2 linked regions of the Astyanax mexicanus genome follow. The protein of the gene in region 2 purifies or fractionates together with the protein of the main gene of each other region. This does not show direct contact. Links are inferred from orthologs where the notes say so. Each region holds a gene or a part of one and is shown on either strand. Other genes may lie near its edges. The genes, in order: CLK4-associating serine/arginine rich protein and cfap20.

Region 1 (7,537 bases), on a different chromosome or scaffold from region 2:
GTCTTAAAATTACATCCACAATCTCATCTGGAATCTACTCATTGTAGACAAGTGAACTGATTAAAGGTTGAAAATAGAGTAACATACTTTAAGATATATGTTTACACTTACGTATAAAATCATAAAAAATAGGGTACCAGACTACTTAAGAAATTATTTTACTACGGTTAGAGATACTCATTCTTATTTTACACGAAGGACCACAATAAATGTTATTCCATGGAGATTTAAGACCCAATTTGTAAAGAATACATTACGTTGTTTTGCAGCTTTGCTTTGGAGCGGACTACCTATGGAAATTAAATGTAGCCCATCGGAACAGGTTTTTAAACAGGTTTTTAAACAGGTTTTAATGAGATGGTTATATTAAAACTGTTTATAGACCCTAGACATTGAGAGTACTAAATACATAAGGAATATCATAAGAGAAGCCACCTCGCTGTCTGTCATCTTTGAGTATGTTTTATGTAGGTGTTTTGTGTTTGTGGGCAGTAAAGATGTTTAATTATGGGTGTTTTTTGTAGAGGACCACAATGGAAACAAGCCTTAGTGCTTTACTGTGTTTTAATCCTCAATGATTTGAAGTGCGTAATGTCTTGTCTGTGTATGTACTTTCTGAATCATTAAATAAATTCAATCACTTAATCAATCAATCATCACACTGCCAAGCTAAAGTCGCCACCAAAAGAAAAAGCCTTTAGCTTTGATTAGTGCATGCATTCACTGTAGCATTGTTTCAATAAGCTTCTGCAATGTTGCAATATCACAAGATTTATTTCAATCAGAGTTGCACTCATTTTTTTTTACCAAGATCTTGCATTGATGATGCAAATTACTGTTATGCCATTATATTTTAGATCTACATAAACTGTCTTAAAATGACAGCTCCGTCTCACCGCTATCAGAGGCACAATGCTCAGCCAAATCAGCTCTCCCTCCTGCCCTTCCCCTAAACCCATACATCACCCAGTGCCCCTCCCACACTACTCCTCACTATTTCTTTAGCATACTCTTTAAGGTATATTAATTACACATGGATTAGAAATGGAATTTATTCATTAATATTACAGTGAGTTCTACTCACGATTTTCTCATAGTACTCCCGCCGTCGTTCCCCACGGCGTTTGTAGTCCACCATCATCCCGCGCAACTTGCGCTCATGTTTGCGGGCCTCCTGCCACATGACAGCTCCGCTGGGGGTGGGGGCGCGTCGTGGCACGGCTGCTGGTTTGGTACAGAAAGAGATTCAATCAAACACACATCTGTGTGAGCTGATTCTAATAGAAAAGTGGCAATGACACACTTGCTGAAATTTATTTTTCTAGATGTAAAAAACAAACAATACAAAACAATACAAGAGTTCCAAACACAAAATCCAATGCTGGGGGCATGGTCAAACATTTAACATTTTTATTACAGTTTATGTATATACATATACATATATATATGTCTTTTGTCCCTCAGGCCATAAGACTTTTCAAACTAAAGACACACCCTCAGCTATAACACTATGTTTATAGTTCTACCCTATTCTGCACTAGTAGTTCATTCACTAGTTCATCCATCTACTGTTTACGTATCTTTTGCACTGCTGAATTTAAATCATTATAACTGTTCATTTGCACTTTCTGTATGGCTGACATCAGTTATACTCACTTTATGCACATCAACTGGCTGCACTACCTCCATTCTACATTACACTCACACTAAAGACTGTGCTTTTACATTGTACATTCTACTTTTTTATTTGATTGTATTTATATGTATCTTTATATTTTATATATTTTATTTTGTAACTTTGTGTATTCAATTTGTAACTTTGTGTCTGCTGCTGGATGTCTAGAATTTCCCCTCGGGGATCAATAAAGTATCTATCTATCTATCTATCTATCTATCTATCTATCTATCTATCTATATATATATCTATATATATATATATATATATATATATATATATATGACCAAGACAGCAAGTCTTTGTGAAGTATCAAGAGCCACTATATCAAGGGTAATGTCATATAATACCATACACCAGCATATCGTATTGGATGAGGATTTTTTTTTCTTTTAAAACATTGGCATTGGCTAATATTGTCAATATTGTCAATTATTGTCAATTATTGTCAAAAAGTGACACTGGCCGCACAACTACAATTGGCCGAAACTTAGTTAGAAGTTAGAAAGTTATATCAAGGTGCCTAGTCTCTCTGCAAGTTATAAATGTATAACGTATAAAACATATTCTAGTTAGTTTAACACTTTTTGTTTACAAAATAATTTAGCATGTGTCCCTGTATAGCTTTAATATAGTATTCAATATTAAATTTGCGATGCTTAAAAATTATAATAAGAAATAAAGCACATTGAATGAGAAGAGGTGTGTCCACAATTTTGACTGGTACTCTAGCAATATATTTATGTAATTATAAATATATGTATATTTTCGATGCCGTATCATCATAATCATCATTATAATGACTCCAAACCTAGATAGTTCACATTGACTAGTTAGCTAATATCTTCCACAGATCTAGTTGAACTAATCCAGTTAAACATTAACTCCAGCTTTACCACTGGATTGCAAAGATAAACTGTTACTGTAAGTATAACCAACCAGCCTATATACAAATTAATAGCAAATAAATAGAATTTAATACTTACATTTGAGTCATATTAAATGATAATTAATATTAAATAAACTTAACGTTAGTTATCTAGCTAAATGCATGGTTTACTATGCATGAGCTAAAGCTGCAGGGGAATTAGCTAGCTAAACTTACAGAGATTACCAACAGTTCTCTAGCTAAGCTAAGCAAGCTAAATATTAAATACTATCATATTTATACTAATACAATTAAATATTTATTAAATATAAATATTAAGAAACAGACAGTTAACTAGTTAAGCTAGTTAGCTAACCTATGTTAACTAACTGAGTTAGTTAGCCTAGTTAGCATTAGCGCCCGTTAGCGCTCCAGTAGCTAATGCTAACGAGCTATGCTAAGCTACCTAGCTCTGCACCTAACCCGCTAAAACGCAGAGTTTCCCCCCAGCCGCAGCGCTCACACCCCGTAGGACTGATATATATAAACTGTTAATATTTACCTGCTTTTTAGTTCCCAACAGATGGAAGCGTGTTTTATTAATATCGCTGCTTTATTCCGCCGGAGCGCGCAGGCAGAGGAGCACAGGTCGCCGAGTTAAGCTAAACTATGCTAAGCTAAGCTAAGCTAACTACACACCCCCCTGTCCACAGCGCGGAGTGATACATCCAGAACTAACCAGCGACCCCTGCAGGACCGGAGCTCACAATTTTCTGAATATTTTTTTCTGAATCAGTTTCTCTGATTTTGCTATTTATAGGTTTATGTCTGAGTAAAATGAACATTGTTGTTTTATTCTATAAACTACAGACAACATTTCTCCCAAATTCCAAATAAAAATATTTTAGTTATTTAGAGCATTTATTTGTAGAAAATGAGAAATGTCTGAAATAACAACAACAAAAAAAAAAAAGATGCAGAGCTTTCAGACCTCAAATAATACAAAGAAAAAAAAAAGTTCATATTCATATTCAAGTTTTAAGAGTTCAGAAATAATCAATATTTGGCGGAATAATCCTGGTTTGTTTTTAATCACAGTTTTTTCATACATCTCAGCATCATGTTCTCCTCCACCAGTCTTACACACTGCTTTTGGATAACTTTATGCTGCTTTACTCCTGGTGCAAAAAATCAAGCAGTTCAGTTTGGTGATTTGATGGCTTGTGATCATCCATCTTCCTCTTGATAATTGATAAATCGTCTCTTATTTTTGTCCAGAGCTTTGTTCTTTTGTTTTGAGCTTAATATGTTAATATGTTCCAAATATTACTTACGGCAACTTAAGTATATTTCAATTGTAAATAAGCTTTATTTAAACACAACGTAAAAGCATTAAATTGTGCTTTTGAGTGTGTTTTTTTTTTCTCGTATAACTTCTGCGAACTTAAGCACATTTAAGTGTGTTTTTTAAAGATCATGTTTAATACACTTAAAGTACAATATATTGTAAATGTACTACTTTGCATATTGATGCACATATGGTGTACACCTTAATGCTACTGAAAAAAAGAACTTAAACTACACTAAAGTGCACTTTAAGCAGTAGCCTATTTAATGCTATTATGCAGTATATATTTTCTATCAACACAACATATGTTTTAAAGCATATTGCTTTTACAGAAATATAGTGTAAGTATATTAACACAGAAAATGCACTTAGTATTCTTTACCTAATGTTTTGTGAACATACTTTTAATGCTTTTTTCACAGGACTTGGCACACTGCCCACACTGCCAAAAGTACCAATTGGTCTTATAATAATATAATATTCTAATTTTCTGAGACAATGATTTTTGGGTTTTCATTGGCTGTAAAACATAATATTTAATCAACAGTAAAATAAATAAACGCCTAAAATAGATCACTCTGTGTTTAATACATCTATATAATATATGAGTTTTACATTTCGAACTGGATTACTGAAATAAAGTAACTTTTCAATTATATTCTCAGTTTTTGAGATGCACTAGTATATTGTATTTTTGATTGTGGTGTTGGTCTTTAAGTTGATTTTTTTTTTTTTTTGCTATTTGGGCTAATTGGCACCTGATTAGTGTAAAAAACTTTTCTTTATCATGTATTATCTTTTTACATTATGTAGTTTCTGAGAAAAATTATGTCCACATATGTGGACTGTAGTTTTAAATTTCGCCAGAACACAATGAAGTCGCAATTAGTAATGATGTGCAAAACACTTATTTTGTGTCTGAACACTAGGGGTGTCACGATTCCGATATTTCATCAAAATCGATCGGAATTATGTCATGGTCTCGAGCCTCGAAGTCAAAAAGAGGATCGACGATCCCTCCCTCTAAGCTACGCAAATCGTGCAGCACACTGTAGCCGACGCCGTGGATTTTGTGACTGCTTAAGAGAATGTGGACGTTCTCATCTTCTTAAAGAAAAACTTTCAAATATAAAAATAACAGTTGTTTTGTCTAGCCTCAAATATGTTAATAGTTTTGGTACCTTAAGGAGCATCTTTCTCTCAGATAAAGTTAATAATATATCTTTAATAAAGAAAAAACTTCATTCTCAGGGATTGAGTCTTATTTTTCATGTTTAACTGTTATAGTAGGATAGAGTTCAGTTCGTTAAGGCTCTAATTATTCTATTATTTTATACATGACTGTTCCTGTATTTTTTTATTATTTATTTTATGTTGCACATTGCTGTTTTAATAGTGCACACTGCTGCTACCAAAAAAGCCACTAGATGGCATTACATATATATCTTAATTAAATTATTTAAATTTGACCATTAGTGCCTAATGTGGTGTATTACAGATCACTTGTATCACTTTGCATCACTTATATCAAGCCCACTTTTTGAAATAAGATAGATAGATAGATAGATAGATAGATAGATAGATAGATAGATAGATAGATAGATAGATAGATAGATAGATAGATAGATTTGAGCAATATGGCTCATTTGAATGCTAATTTAACACAAAGACATACAACAATCACCATCACAATCACTAGGTGGCAGTATAATGGCCTCATAAGTGGACACCAGGCCTTTGTAGAGCAACATTAAATGTTGTGGTCTAAACAACCCAAAATGTGATGTTCACACATGTGGACGCCAGGTTCTAGGAGTTTATAAGGGTAATGTGGTACCTGGAATCCAAATAATCAGAATGATCAGAATCAAATGACTCGATCGGTCCTTTCAGTGCAGCACATTCTGTTCTCCTGACCTGTCAGTCTAATTTAATCTGCTGTATTATTTTAGTGCTGATCTGAAGGTATGTTCTCTGGAGGCCTGGCACTGGTTCAGTTCAGTACAGGGCTGAGCTCGGTACACAGATCTGCCCCGGGGCTGTTTTTCAGTTAGGTAAGGTTGTTGGGTGGGGCAGAAGTCATGTCATGTGACGCCCTGCTGGACCGTTCCTCTGCGCCAGTGTGGTCACTCAGGGGGGACTTCCTAGACCACAGTCGCCTCATTTTCAGCCCTTTTATAACCGATGCTCTGGGAGTTAAAGGCCCCGCCGGGCCTGCAGCACTGTGGCCAGGCTTAAACACCCAAACCACAAACATCAAACAGAACCATCAGAACAATGCATCAGAACAAAGCCCTTTTAACATACAAAAAACACAATTGTCTAATTTATTTTTACTATTCATCTTACAGCTCTGGAAAAAATAAGAAAGCACTTAAAAATGATGAGTTTCTTTGATTTTAACAAATTAAAAACCTCTGGAATAGAATCAAGAGGAAGATGGATGATCACAAACCATCAAACCACCAAACTGAACTGCTTGAATTTTTGCACCAGGAGTAAAGCAGCATAAAGTTATCTAAAAGCAGTGTGTAAGACTGGTGGAGGAGAACATGATGCCAAGATGCTTTAGGTTATTCCACCAAATATTGATTTCTGAACTCTTAAAACTTTATGAATATGAACTTGTTTTCTTTGCATTATTTGAGATCTGAAAGCTCTGCATCTTTTTTGTTATTTCAGACATTTATCATTTTCTGTAAATAAATGCTCTAAATGAGAATATTTTTATTTGGAATTTGGGAGAAATGTTGTCTGTAGTTTATAGAATAAAACAACAATGTTCATTTTACTCAAACATAAACCTATAAATAACAAAATCAGAGAAACTGATGTATTTTAAAGACTACAAAAAAAAAACTACATGTAATTAATAATTTCCAGCTTAAAATCACTTTTTATTTTTATTCACTTTTTAATCTTTATCTTTATCATGATTTTAGCAACAACTGGTATTTAAATAAAAACGTGGTTGAGTTGGTTGGTCAGTGACTGTTCTTCTGTTTAAAATATACATTTTTGATATAAAAAAAAAAGAAAATTATCTTAATTACTGTAATATTTTACTGCACCAGTTTGGATAGATTAAACTTTACTTCTTTTATTTAAGCTTTAATTATGGAGACAATATAAGAAATATTAAGTTACTGTAAATTAATATTATTGATAGTCTTCAGTCCCTTTGAAAGTACAGCAAAGTATTATAAAGCTTTTGATGTCCCTTTTTTGATGATAATTTCAAAATTCAGTGGTCCCAACACTTTCAGCTAGGACTGCACTTATTTAACCATTTAAAGTAATTATTTAACTTTATTTATTTAAAGCAGTACTGCGGACATGGCAAACCCGAACAAACACCCATATAAAAAAATATATGTATTATAAAATGTACAATAGAAAATATGTATATTTAAGTATTTAAGGTGAAGATTAAAGTTATTTCTTCATATCTGTAATGAAGTGGTTATTCAGAGTAAATCTTGATTTTTATTGAGTATTAAATTTAAACTCAAAGCACAATTTATACTCATATTGGCCCAAATAATACACAATAAAAATGTAGAAAACATAAAAATCAAACCTCTTTATTGACATTTGCACATTAATAGAGAAATATCTCTAAGCACAATTTAAGCACAATAAAAAT
Region 2 (7,090 bases):
CCTCCCAAACATATGTAAATGCTTACACTTACAATAATTATATTATATATTCCCTAATAAAAATGATGTAATTTTTTACATGCACTTTTGTCACCCCTTCTCTGAAGGGTTAGAAGGGCCTCACTGCACACCACTGATCACTATTGTATTCTTTGCCATATTACCCAGTCCTATATGCACACATACAGGCCTACAGTTGGTACACAAATAAAAGTACCGGTGTTGGTGTGAACTTACCTTTGCTTTGTTTTGAACTGGCAAATAAAGCTTAAACTCTGCCGGGAGCTCATCTTCCGAGTACAGTCTGTCAGAAAAGTACACTCTTCTTATGCGACAGTTGGCATGAATCTGCAAGATAATGAAGCTATTCATTAATTGAAATTAATAATATGTAGAATACTAATTCAGAAACTTCTGAGATTGCATTAAAAGTGAAAAGAAGTAAAAAGCAAACATAATAAATATGTTATTATTTATTTTAACGGCGCAGCTACCTGGACGTGTCCAACTAACCTTCTCGTTTACGCTGTGAAACTGCACCACCAGCTCATTTACAAGAACAGCAATGGTAGCATAACAAGAGGGTGTGTAAGCACATTGCCAAGATAATAATGAACGTCTGATGGTTGACTGCTGTCAGGGTTCATTTCAGTCAGTGGCGCACCTGTGTTTTTCAATGCTAAGATAGCAATACTCTAAAAATGTACCTGAACATACCCCATTTCCAGGCCACCACAACTAATACTTATTTTACTCTAGAAAAGCAGAATGTTAAGGAGGTGCAGTTATATTTAGAGGGACCTACTTTATGTGTTTATTCTTTTATGGTTGATTATTATGGCTTACAGCCAATTAAAACCCAAAAATCAGTGTCTCAGAAAATGTAAATATTATATAAGACCAATTGGTACTTTTGGCAGTGTGCCAGGTCCTGCTGGAAAATGAAATCCACATCTCCATAAAATACTGTATATAACACAGTAGATCAACACCAGCAGATGACATGTCTCTCTTATTATATTATATTAGTACAGGCAAAACAGCATGTCTTTTTTGCCTCCACTGCCCACCTGTACACGGAGCGTCTCAATGTAGTTGGTGCCGTACGCTCTTCTTGTGAAGTCCGACAGGTTGAACTGGATCTGGTTCCAGCCGTCATCCAGTCGCATGGGCATGGTGCAGATGAACGGCTTCACCCGGGTGGTGCTCTGGTAGTTACTCGCCCTGAATCTCCGCCGTACGTTCTTATCATCCAGCACCTGGGACACGGTGAGATATTAAAAGGATCTGTGATTAATTAAGGCACATCACAGCTCTTCAATAAAAGCATAAAACACCCGCACATATGCAGTAGCCTTACCTGAACTTCAAATGTGAAGTACTTCTTGAGGTTCTTGATGATCATAACCAGGAAGGGCAATTTGATGCCAAGGGTTTTCTTCGGATCTGCCGGGCATGTGATGTATGTTGTGCTGTGAATATGAACCAGAGTGTGAATAGAAGATATCCATAGCGATAAGGACTTGTAACCACAATAGTGAGAGGTGATGCAATTATATATATATATCCATTCTTATCTGGTGAGTTGTCTGATCACAATTTGACAGTGAGACAAGAGAGAGAAAAGTTTACACCTGGTATTTCCATGTGTACTGTTAATAACTTTAAACTGTATAAACAATAAGGATTGAAGGTTCTACTGTACACATTTAGTTGATCAGGTGGTCCTTTGGGGGTTCCACAAAAATATTCCAAGACACTTTTACAATGCAGATCAATATATTGCATTTTTCTGACACAATTTTTGACAAGTCAGAAGAGAGAAAAAGCCCTACAAGTGCCACTATAAAATAACACTATTCACAATCAAACATAAGAGTTGACAAAACCCATTATATAGACAGTGAATGCTTCCTAAAAACATAGTTTATCACTTTTAACAATAACATACTGTCATTCTGCCCACCCAGCTGACAGTCTGTTAATAATTGATGTAGAATTATATACAAACCTACTAAACTCGATCCTATTAATCCTATTAAACTATCCACAAAAAAAGAAATGTGTAAAATGATGATTACCTGACGTTGGTCCCCTCCACCTCCAGCACCAGTGACTGGATATCATTGTCTGTAATCCGCTTTATATGTCCATTTCTCACCTGAAAAGAGGAATCATGAGTTATACCCAGTGAACCCAGCCAGTTTCACTAAATCCATTTCTGTAAAATTAGTCCCACCTGTAGACTAGCTGATACCTGTAGGCTATATGGAGTCCATACAGGTAGAAAGGTAGAAATATTTAATAATTAAAGACGAAGCTTAAACATTCCCACGTCTAATAATGGTTCCTTTGGTTGAATTAATGACTACTCTAATTTAATAAATCATTTCCTAACTGTTTTCAGTTGTTCCAATTAAAAATAACTGCTCCCTTATTTTAACAATCCATCCATATTCAATTTAATAAATAGTTAACTAAATGTAATAATTAGTTTAACCTACTTTCCTCAATAGCTGAATTTCTATTTTCATTTATGAAGCCATTCCCTCTACTAGTGTGTTATGCCAGGGTAGCACAATTTGACAGAACACCGGCTGTTCCAGGTGAACTGATGTATTTTATGTAACCTAGCTAGTTATCGTTAGATGTCGGTTTACCTTTTTATCCCATATCTGAAGCGGTTTGCTCCCGATGCTGTAGAGGATGGACAGGAAGCCGCTCTGGAATGTGTTCTTGAACATGATTTTATAAAATCATATAAATCTCCCTCCCACACACGAACACTCTCTGCGCTCCACTGAAAACCGGTCCGTGTAGCAACAGATTCACCGCAGCAGAGGCGAGCACTGGTTCCTTACTGTAAATAAATATATAAAATTATTATTATAGTGTACGGGTTATAAACTCTTTTATAATGCGTTTAAAATTCACAGTCCCAGATAGCTAAGCTAACTAGCTAACTTCTTGATTAGCAAACTAAACAGATAACTTAGCTAAGCTAACTCAGTTTTCGAAACCCGTTAGTTATTACCTCCGCTCCGGTTGCTGTGAATTAAACGGTCGCTCTGTTAAAAAAGGCGGAATGTAAAATCTTCAGTCAGACGCAGTTTAACTCTGTGTCTCTGTGTGTTAATAATTCTGAAATTAATTCTGTCATATAATCAGTGCTGTAAACCCGGCAGATCTCCACAGCTGCTGCTGCTGCTGCTGCTCGGCTCTCGCTCGGCCCGTTGCTGTGATACAGGACGCGGTTCACTCCGGACCCTCAGTGTTGATGCGCCGGTTGTCCTGGTAGCACCACGCGCCGCGTCACTGCCCGGGGGGCGGGCTCTAATAATACTACTACTAATAATAATAATACTAATACTAATACTACTTCTACTACTAATAATAATATTAAAACTACTACTACTGCTAGTAATACTACTACTACTACTAATAATAATAATAATAATAATAATACTAACATTACTACTACTAATACAAATTATACTAATTATACTACTACTGCTGCTAATAATAATAATACTGCTAATAATAATAATACTGCTAATACTACTACTACTACTACTACTACTACTACTACTAATAATAATAATAATAATAATAATAATAATAATACTGCTAATACTACTACTACTACTACTACTACTACTACTACTAATAATAATAATAATAATAATAATAATAATAATAATAATAATACTAATACTTCAACTACTTACGGTAACACATTTTATAGTAAGTGAAATGCATCCTGAAATATATTTTATTGCTAATTTATTAAATTTATTAAAAAAAATGCATTGAAGTAATGCATTACCGTAATAATTTTGAGCCTGTGAGATTTAGATGCAGATGGCTTGACTGCAAACTTGGCTAACCCGTTGCTTATTTTTTAGGTTCATTTGTTTAACAGAGTAGATTTTATCCCCGTCTGGAAAATCAGTCTTTAAAGAATTAGTCAGAGAAATATCACATTGATTTATTTAATCAACGGACAAATTAACAAGCTGACAAAATACTTAACAGTGTTCAGTGAATTCCTTATTTCTGATCTGCTTTAGTGTACGACAACCATCAACATCATCTCACACACTGGTCAGACACAGAGAGGCATTGGTGCCTCCAAACCCGAAGGAGTTAGTGAGAGCTATTCTCGGGCCGTCAGTGCTCCAGGGCTGAGAAACACAGGGCACATAGTTCAGGTCGAACTCCGGTTCTGTTCGGTCCAGATTGAGAGTCGGAGGCAGGATACCATGGTAACATGCCAGTGCTGTGAACGCTGCCTCCAGAGCACCAGCGGCCCCAAGAAGATGCCCTGTGGCCCCTTTAGTGGACGAAACGGCCAGTAACGGGGATTGTTTCTGGAAGAGTTTCTTTATAGAAGCATTCTCTGCAGCGTCCCCTAGTGGTGTTGAGGTGGCGTGAGCGTTCACGTAAGTCACGTCTGAAGGCGATACGCCAGCGTTGCGTAGAGCAGCAGACATGCACCTGTTGAGTGAAGCAAATAAAGCAAAAATAAAGTTATTGCTGTGCTGACCTTGTATTTAAATATGGAGCTTAGGCTTGTTTATAAATCATTCTATAAACTACGAACAACATTTCTCACAAATTCCAAATCAAAAAATTGTCATTTAGAGCATTTACTTGCAGAATTTATTTTGTGAAATAGCTGAAATAACAAAAAAGACACAGATATTACAAATAATGCAAAGAAAACAAGTTCATATTCATAAAGTTAAAAAAAAATCAGAAATCAAGGTTTGGTGGAATAACCCTGGTTTTTGAACACATGGCATGTTCTCCTCCACCAGTCTTACACACTGCTTTTGGATAACTTTATGCCTTTACTCCTGGTGCAAAAAATTCAATTCAAGCAGTTCATTTTGGTTTGATGGCTTGTGATCATCCATCTTCCTCTTGATTATATTCCAGAGGTTTTCAATTTGGTAAAATCAAAGAAACTCATCATTTTTAAGTGATCTCTTATTTTTTTCCAGAGCTTTATCATCATATCAACACAAAATGGTAATTATGTTAGGCTTATCTAGTAGGCGGTTGTGCAAAGTTACCTGAAAGCTCCATCTCCATCTTCAGTGGGCGCAGTGATGTGGCTGGCATCTCCTGAGAGTCCATAACCCAGCACCTCAGCGTACACTCGTGCTCCTCTCTCCATAGCATGTCTGTACTCCTCCAGAATCAGCACCGCTGCTCCCTCACCCATCACGAAACCCTCTCTCTCTGGGTGGAAGGGTCGCGAGGCCAGCTTGGGCTGCTGGTTCCAGTTGGTGCTGAGGGCCCGTGCTCGTGCGAAGCCCGCTATGGACAGGGGACTTACACAAGCCTCCGTGCCGCCAGCAACCATCACCACAGCATCACCGTGTGCGATGAAACGTGCAGCATCACCAACAGCGTGAGCCCCAGTGGTGCAGGCCGTGGACACGGCGTGATTGGGACCCTTGAGTTTGTGCTTGATGCTGATGTGTCCAGCCGCCATGTTGACCAAAATACGTGGGACGAAGAAAGGGCTGACCTTGCTGTACCCACGCGTCTCAAAGGCTGCAGCGGTGCGGGCGATCTCCTCCAGGGACACCATGCCCATGCCTACTGCCACTCCTGTGTTTAGCTGCTCCTCTGGGCTTCTGGGATACCACCCACAGTCCTCCAGAGCCAGGTGAGCTGCCCCGACAGCCATGACTGTGGCAGATGACATGCAGCTCATCTCCCCTCTTCCAACAAACCTTTCCTCCTTAAACTCGCCCTCTCCATCTCCTCTAGGGACTCGTGCCGCCACTTTACACGGCACAGTTCTGTATTCCTCAGAGTCCAGTGCAACAATCCCACTCTCTCCATCGACCAGACGCTGCCAGGGCAGAGCCGTTCCTGTTCCAAGCGGGGACACAAGTCCAATTCCAGTGATGACCACTCTCCTGGGAGACTGTGCAGTACTAGAATGGCTAAGGTGGCTGTATTTCCTCCGAGATGTTTCTAAAACACTCGTACAGGTCCTTATGCAAAGGGCTCTGGACAAATGCTTCACTGAGAGCTTCTGCCAACATGTCACTGACATGTCTCACCAACACAGTCCTGGATAACCTGAATCAAAAGAGTACAAGTGTTTATTATGAGGTATTAAACATGAGTAGGGCTGCAACAATTAGTGGACATAATTAATAAAGTCAAATATAAAAAAATAAGGTAGAGGTACTCATTTCATTCACACTCACATTAAGTAAATTTCCTTACAGCAGACTTCATTAAAAGAAAAAAACAGCTAAAGAATATGAATAATAGACCTTTCAAAAGAGATACACCAATTACTTTTTTTAAAACTAAATATTTTAAATAGTTCCATAAACACTATAAATGGACTTAAAGAGAAGGCGATACTTTATTTTTAAGTAAAGTACTTGAAGAGATATTTCGTTATTAATATATTTCGTAATATTATTTAGTTTATATGTTTTGTAGGAGATGTGACAACATTTTACATCAAACATTTATCAATTGTAATTATTGTAATTAATTGTAATTAAAATAAAATATATATAATTTAATTTTGAATTAATGACCCTGGCCCTAACTAATAAAGCGGGTACTGACAAAATATGGATGAATAAACTATTTTATAGTGGTGCTGCTGGATTAACTACAGCACAGACAGTCTCTCACCTAAAAACTCAGTGCGCATGCTCCCCGTTGACCTACAGAATAGCTATAACATAAGCACCACATGCACCACACACAACTACTTATATTACCCTGTATTATCTGTAAAACGCACTGTCACAGTTTATATAACTGAGGTAAAACTACTTACTGTAACTGTGTTTTACACCTCCTATAAAAACACACGCAGCAGCAACCGTTCTGCAACAGGAAACACTGTCGGTTTACACACAGATCACCTGTCACAATAAAAGTCCCCAAACTCGTTCTTTTTCTGAGAGCAGTTTTTTTATAGATATTTCTCAGCGTTTTAATGATAAATAAAAATAAAATAAAACAATGATATATGATTGGCATATCAAATATTCATACTCTTTGAAAAATAATTTATATCACCGTACTTATAATAATAATA

The links.
Region 1: the proteins of cfap20 (region 2) and CLK4-associating serine/arginine rich protein purify together in Homo sapiens (affinity purification with mass spectrometry; 3 studies listed by BioGRID and IntAct, counting the BioPlex papers as one, with this or other methods). This does not show direct contact. The link is inferred for Astyanax mexicanus from reciprocal best matches to the Homo sapiens genes CFAP20 and CLASRP.

Annotation. Positions count from the first base shown.
Region 1 is NC_064416.1:2,807,440-2,814,976, reverse strand, and holds the start of CLK4-associating serine/arginine rich protein, read right to left. Parts: upstream 3,255-7,537; 5' UTR 3,106-3,254; intron 1,225-3,105; 5' UTR 1,184-1,224; coding exon 1,085-1,183; intron 1-1,084. UniProt on the Homo sapiens protein: Probably functions as an alternative splicing regulator. May regulate the mRNA splicing of genes such as CLK1. May act by regulating members of the CLK kinase family.
Region 2 is NC_064410.1:3,711,149-3,718,238, forward strand, and holds the start of cfap20 (cilia- and flagella-associated protein 20), read right to left. Parts: upstream 3,264-7,090; 5' UTR 3,035-3,263; intron 2,861-3,034; 5' UTR 2,745-2,860; coding exon 2,661-2,744; intron 2,162-2,660; coding exon 2,082-2,161; intron 1,473-2,081; coding exon 1,361-1,472; intron 1,260-1,360; coding exon 1,071-1,259; intron 349-1,070; coding exon 238-348; intron 1-237. Other genes in the region: oxsm (3-oxoacyl-[acyl-carrier-protein] synthase, mitochondrial), read right to left, coding at 4,095-4,497, 5,079-6,076. UniProt on the Homo sapiens protein: Cilium- and flagellum-specific protein that plays a role in axonemal structure organization and motility. Microtubule inner protein (MIP) part of the dynein-decorated doublet microtubules (DMTs) in cilia axoneme, which is required for motile cilia beating.